Linked DNA regions of Ovis aries. The protein of the gene in region 2 purifies or fractionates together with the protein of the main gene of each other region. This does not show direct contact. Links are inferred from orthologs where the notes say so. Each region holds a gene or a part of one and is shown on either strand. Other genes may lie near its edges.

Region 1 (3,036 bases), on a different chromosome or scaffold from region 2:
GCAAGTTTAACTGTTAATGCCTCCCTTTGCAAGACCACTGGTGCCCGGAGGAGTAGAACCTTCTCCTACTTAACTCTGTATTTGCAGACCCTAGCTCAGGACTGACAAAAATAAATTTTTGCTGTGTTGAAAACCCCACTCTTTCACTAGCCGTGATTTTACATAAATTGTTTATTAAGACTGAAAGACAGCCATCCCTCTGTATCCTCGGGTTCTCCATCCACAGATTCACCCAACCGTGAACTGAAGATATATATATTTTTTAATTCCAATTATAAAAGACGAAACTTGAATTTACCATGCACCAGTAAACTATTCACATCGCATTGGATATTATAAGCAATCTAGAGATTATATAGAGTATACAGTGCAAATACTATGCCATTTCATATAACGGACTTGAGCATCCACGGATTTTGGTATACATGGGTTGGGGACGGGAGTCGGGGGAGTCCCGGAACCAATCCTACCAACCCTTCACCACCTATACGGACGGTGGACTGTACCTCTCTCCCCATCTGCAGCAGCACTGTGTCAGCTGTCCGGTTACCTTCACTTTGGGCAGCTGGCGGGGAAAGAGGCTATTCAACTCCACTACAAACCCTTAAAAGGCTGGATAAAGGAACTTAGAAAAGATGCAGACACGCAGGCGACCAACAGTAGAGAGGTGTCGGGGCGATGAGCATCAAAGCAAGAATTTTAGACGTCAGGCTGGGTGAGGGGGCCTCAAGCCCATAGAAGAGAATCCTCGACATTGAGGGGTTCCCATCCCAGCGGATCCACACTGGAGAACCGCGGGTCCGGACGCGAAATGTCCGCGCCAGCCCAGTTCCGCAACACTTGGTCTCCGCCCTCCCGCCTTTGTCAGGTAGCGGCTGGATGGGCGGGGAATAAAGGAAGGAGGCCTAAGGGAGGAGCGAACGTGGCGTGGGAGGAACGAGTCGTGGGGCGCGTGACGTCACCCCTGGTGTGTGCGTAAGGTGAACGGAAGCGGAAGCGGCTCTGTTCGCCGCCTCTCCCACCGGCCCGATGAGCTGCAGCGGCTCCGGCGCGGACCCCGAGGCGGCGCCGGCCTCCGCCGCCTCGGCCCCGGGCCCGGCGCCCGCGGTCTCGGCCCCCGCCGCGCTGCCCGCCGGCACCGCCGCGGAGAACAAGGCCAGCCCCGCGGGGACGTCAGGGGGGCCTGGGGCTGGAGCCGCGGCAGGGGGCACTGGAGCCGTGGCGGCGCGGGCCGGGGAGCCTGCCGAGCGGCGCGGGGCGGGTGAGGGCCGGGACGGGTGAGGGCGAGGGCCGCGCTTTGGGCTGGGCCCAGCGGCGGGTGAGGGCAGAGGGTAAGACACACCTAGCGGAACCCTCGAGCCTCCCACCTCCGTGTCTCAGTTTGCTGGTTTTCCTCCAGCTCCAGTGACGACCGGCGGCGCGGCGCCCCCGGAGGGGGCCATGTCTAACGGGGTTTACGTGCTGCCAAGCGCGGCCAACGGAGAGGTGAAGCCAGTGGTGTCCAGCACGCCTCTAGTGGACTTCCTGATGCAGCTGGAGGATTACACGCCTACGGTGGGCTTCCTGCCTGAACAAGGCTAATGACTCGCTGTCACGCCAACTTCTGCCACACCATCTGGATTTGCAGCATCCTCTTGTGTTTCTCTTCCTAGCTTTTGTGATTTTTCCCTTCTGCCCACCCAAACTGGGAGCTTCCTGATAGCCAGGCCTGCCCTCCATTTCCCTTACCCCGACTCTCAGCCCCGCTGTACACAGGGCTAACGCTTACAGTCGTCTAATTGATTTCTCAGATCCCTGATGCAGTGACTGGTTACTACCTGAACCGTGCTGGCTTTGAGGCCTCCGACCCACGCATGTGAGTAAACTCTGGGCAGGTTAGAGTGTTGGGTGTTTGTGTGGAGTTTATTGTCTATGCTCTTCTCATACCATTTTTTTCTCTCCAGAATTCGGCTCATCTCCCTAGCTGCCCAGAAATTCATCTCAGATATTGCCAACGATGCCCTACAGCACTGCAAAATGAAGGGCACAGCCTCTGGCAGCTCCCGAAGCAAGAGCAAGGTGTGAGGGGAGGCTCATTGATTCAGTAATTACTTCCTACAGCAGCAGAGGCTTAAATTATCCTGAAACCCCTTTGAGGGAAATTAAGCCTTAGGGGAGGTGAAAGACCTACTCAGGGTCACCTGCCTGGGATTGAAATCTGGAATTCCTGTGTTCAGCTGGTGCTCTTCCCTCTTCCCTCAGGACCGCAAGTACACTCTAACCATGGAGGACTTGACCCCTGCCCTCAGCGAGTATGGCATCAATGTGAAGAAGCCGCACTACTTCACCTGAGCCACCCAGTCTAAATGTACTTGTCTGTTCTCTTGTCCCCACACCAGCCTGTTTTCATAATAAACTTTATTGTGACAGGCAGGGCTGATCCCTCCCATGCTGGGAGACACCGTGTGGCAAGTGACAAAGCTTTGAGCCCATTCCCTTTTGGGGCCACAGTGGTAGGGATGGGGGCAGGGGATGGGCCCCATGGCTGGGGTAGTACCATGACTAGTGGCAGGGGAGGCAACCAGAGGCCTACTGCTTTGGGGAGGTGCACTCCCCTAACCGTGTCCTGACACCTCTGGAGTTCAGATAAGGACTTTCCAGCTCTACTTGTCCTGCATCTTCTCCAGGATAGGCACGATCATGTCAAACTTGGGCCGCTTAGCAGGGTCTTCATTCATGCAGATCTTCATGAGTTTACAAACGTGGGGGGAAATGCCTGGTGGGATGGTAGGCCGAAGGCCTTCCAATGCCACCTGCAAACACAAGGAAAAACAAGGTGAGTCTCAGAACTTGAGTCTCATGTCGGGAGAGACGTCTAGCCCTCAGGACAGGATTCTGTGTATTTGAATCAATGTGGCAGGAGCCCAGCCCCACTACAATTATTGTCACTACCACCACAAGTATATCCAGTTATGCTCTCACCTTCATTCCAATTTCCATGTTGGAGAGGTCAGCAAAGGGTACCTCCCGTGTCACCAGTTCCCACAGAAGCACTGC
Region 2 (3,748 bases):
CTGGGTACACCACCTGGCTCCACGGAAGTATTAGTCTTCCTGTCCAGCACAACTGGTTCTGGAAGAGATGAAAGTGAAAGTGAAGTCACTCAGTCGTGTCTGACTCTTTGCGACCCTGTGGACTGTAGCCCACCAGGCTCCTCCATCCATGGGATTCTCCAGGCAAGAATACTGGAGTGGGTTGCCATTTCCTTCTCCAGGGGAATCTTCCTGACCCAGGGATCGAACCCAGGTCTCCCACATTGCAGGCAGACGCTTTAACCTCTGAGCCACCATATGTGACCCAAATCTGGCCAACATCAATTTCAAATCTCTTGCTAAAGCGATCTACAAAAAAAAAAAAAAAAAAAGACCTCTTTCTGTTGGCTAAAAGAGTAGCATAGAAGCCTGGAACTGATGGAGATTTTTGCCTGCCTGAGGGAGAAATCAACATGGAGGAAAGCAGAGCTGAAAAGACACAGAAAATACTGGTGACATAACCAAGGCTTCTGGATACAGCCATACCTGGAGCTGGTACACCTGGGACTCTAGTTAGAGTCAACAGATACTCCTTTTCTGCTTAGGCTAGTTAGAGTCAATAGATACTCCCTTTCTGCTTAGGCTAGTTTGGGCTACCTTTTTGTTACATGCAACTAAGAAGTTTAACTAAAAAAGAGGTAATTCATAGGGACCAAGGCTGTGAGGAAAAGCACATAGTAACTGCTATACATACAGCCTAAAACTGCTGTCTGACCCTCTCATACAAATGAAAATAGTCTATACTTAAACCACTCTAAAAATAATCACATAGGACTTAGGACAATAAAAGCTTTGTCATAAGTCAAAGAGAAGCAAGGCATCCAAGACTACATTCAGATCCCATACCCTCCATTTAGCCACATCAGTAAGAATCTACATTAGTTTTGTTAGAAAATATTTATTTATTCATTCATTTAGCTGCAGCACACAGCATCTTCGTTGCATCATGTGGGACCCATGGACTCTCTGGTTGTGGCTATGGGCTCAGTAGTTGTGGTGCTTGGGCCTAACTGCCGCACGCCACGTGGGTTCATAGCTCCCTGACTAGGGATCAAACACTGAGTCCTCTGCATTGCAAGGCAGATTCTTAACCACTGGACCACCAGGGAAGTCCCTCAATTCGGTTCCTTTTTAAAATTAAGGAGACCTGATGATTTCCACCTATCCCACCCTGCACCCCAACCCAATACCTACCAGGCTTTGGTACTGAAGCTTACATAGGTGACTCTCATTTAAGCCTACATCAATGCTACAAGCCCACCTTCTTTACAGCTGGGGAAGCTTTAGTTCAGTTGGATGAAGTTATGCTAGGTAACTCAGGAAATACAAGTAGTTGAGCTGCCACTGCAAGCCTGCAAACTATAAAATCTATACTCTTCCTTCCAAGTTTTGTCACACTTCAGCACATTCCATAGCAAAAAGAGATCAGTTCAGTTCAGTTCAGCCGCTCAGTCGTGTCCGACTCTTTGCGACCCCATGAATCGCAGCACGCCAGGCCTCCCTGTCCATCACCAACTCCCAGAGTTCACTCAGATTCACGTCCATCGAGTCAGTGATGCCATCCAGCCATCTCATCCTCTGTCGTCCCCTTCTCCTCCTGCAACTGCATCAAATACTGCTACAGGTCTGAGAACTAAACACTGAATTTGGTGACCTAGAGATGACTGGTGGCTTTGACAAGGCGCTATTTCAGTGGAAGGGTGGGGGCCCAGGCCCGACTGGAGTGGGTTCGGAGGAGAAAAAGTGCTAGTGAGTACAGACCGAAATTTTGGCTGCAAACAAGGGCAGAGAAACAAGGCGCCAAGAGAAATACGAATGAAGAATGAGGTCATTCGGTTAAGATGGGCACATTGTGAGCAAATAACAAATGCTATCAAGGTTCGGGGCCCATCCTCTGCCTTTGTCTTCTAGCACCTGGCCTGGGTACCCAGCCTCCCCGGGCCACTGCGCCAAGCTCCACATGCGGCGGCTTCCCACCCGCGCAGGGCAGGCAGGCGCACGCGCAGACGATACACCAGCCCTCCTTCCCGGCGCCCCGCCTTTCTCCGCCAAGGCGCATGCGCGCCGCCCCTCAAGAGCAGCCTCAGCGAGGCCGGGGCATGGAGACCACCGGCCCTCCACTCCCGCCATCCTGCAGGCGGGGGTGTGCGGCGGAAGGGGGTTGTCCCAGACCGCGATCCATACCTACCTACAGAGCCACGGGTGGAACAAGCACGTCGCGCTGGAAACTGCGACGGCGGGGGCAGGCGCGCGGTCCCTCGAATGCTCTTCAGAGTCTGCAGATGACAACGCCCTTTACGTTCGAAGATTCGCGGCAGGACGAGACCCACACAGCTTTTTTCCCTCTGATGAGCTTAGTCGCAGCGCGGAGGACCCCTCTACGCATGCGCCGTCATCCTCTGTGACGTGCCGCGCTGCCCTTTGGGAAATGTAGTTTTCACTTTGACACACTGCTCCCGGCTTTTCGGCCGAACCGTATTTTACCAAACCAGGGTCTTTGTGTGCCATGCCCTCCTCCAGGGGATCTTCCCCACCCAAGGATTGAACCGCGGGCACTTGGATTGGTAGGCAGATTGTTTACCACTGAACTACCTGGGAAGCCCTTCTGAGAAAGCTACAATGTGGCAAAGGAATCTGGGGCTTCCTTGTCTATCCTTCATCTAACACATCTGAAATGCTTTCCCAAAGAGCCTTGAAAAGTCACAGCAGTCTTCACTGAAGATCGCTTGAGGGCACATGGAGAGAGTTACACAGAGTGCTTTCCTTTTACTAATCCTTTTACTAATTCCTCCCTTGACAGAGTTATACTTCTGAAGGCCATGCTCTCATCTGTCTCTCCTCTTTGCTTTCTCCTGCTTAAGACCTGGCTTTTTTACATGAGGGCTTCAGGCACTTTCTGTGTAAAAAACCCTACAGTCACTCAGCTTGACCCTGTTCACACCCACTCCTCACCCATTTGAGCAAAACAGAAAGTTTTCTCTTCACCTTGGGAGGTGGGAGGTAGGAGGTGGGAGATACTGTAACCATTGTATTCACTTTTAATGGTGATTTTTCTTGACACAGACAAAAAGCCATATCTTGACCAGAAGGTGGCATAGTATGCATGGAATTGAGTAAAGGAAAGGGATGAATTAAACTGACCCTTAACATTTTCCTTTTCTCCCCTCCTTCTAAAACAGGTAACTTTGGGAGGCTATGAACTGTTGCCCACCAGGCTCCTCATACACTGTGAAAAAGTCAAATGTTGCCGGGATCTAGCATCTGGAAGTAAAAGTTCTCCAGAATCCCAGTTGAGGATATAACCTCTACGGAGAGTTTGGTACGCAACCCCACTGCTCACTCCCCTTTTTTTCAATAATTAAAATAGTTTTTACTATAGAAATAGGATTATAGACATGCTTGGGCAGCAATCCCTTGGACCCAGGCTTTCCCTGGGGTGAGAGAGTGGGAGGTAGGGACGGAGGGGAGGGTCTCCCCTTGGGTATTTAGCCCTGGGCTGGCACCCAGTGGTGAAAGGGGCAGTTCAGTTCAGTTGCTCAGTGTGTCCAACTCTTTGCAGCCCCACGGACTGCAGCACACCAGGCTTCCCTGTCCATCACCGACTCCCGGAGCTTGCTCAAACTCATGTCCATGGAGTTAGTGACGCCATCGAACCATCTCATTCTCTGTCGTCCCCTTCTCCTCCTGCCCTCAGCCTTTCCCAGCATCAGGGTCTTTTCCAGTGAGTCAA

The links. The genes of interacting proteins can lie anywhere in the genome.
Region 1: the proteins of SGF29 (region 2) and TAF10 purify together in Homo sapiens (affinity purification with mass spectrometry; 3 studies listed by BioGRID and IntAct, with this or other methods). This does not show direct contact. The link is inferred for Ovis aries from reciprocal best matches to the Homo sapiens genes SGF29 and TAF10.

The regions. Positions count from the first base shown.
Region 1 is NC_056068.1:46,195,953-46,198,988, forward strand, and holds TAF10 (transcription initiation factor TFIID subunit 10), read left to right. Parts: upstream 1-1,004; 5' UTR 1,005-1,029; coding exon 1,030-1,261; intron 1,262-1,399; coding exon 1,400-1,554; intron 1,555-1,790; coding exon 1,791-1,855; intron 1,856-1,943; coding exon 1,944-2,058; intron 2,059-2,241; coding exon 2,242-2,331; 3' UTR 2,332-2,412; downstream 2,413-3,036. Other genes in the region: ILK (integrin-linked protein kinase), read right to left, coding at 2,643-2,792, 2,962-3,036. UniProt on the Homo sapiens protein: The TFIID basal transcription factor complex plays a major role in the initiation of RNA polymerase II (Pol II)-dependent transcription.
Region 2 is NC_056077.1:26,603,530-26,607,277, reverse strand, and holds the start of SGF29 (SAGA-associated factor 29), read right to left. Parts: upstream 2,386-3,748; 5' UTR 2,207-2,385; exon of another isoform or gene 2,069-2,206; intron 59-2,068; 5' UTR 1-58. UniProt on the Homo sapiens protein: Chromatin reader component of some histone acetyltransferase (HAT) SAGA-type complexes like the TFTC-HAT, ATAC or STAGA complexes.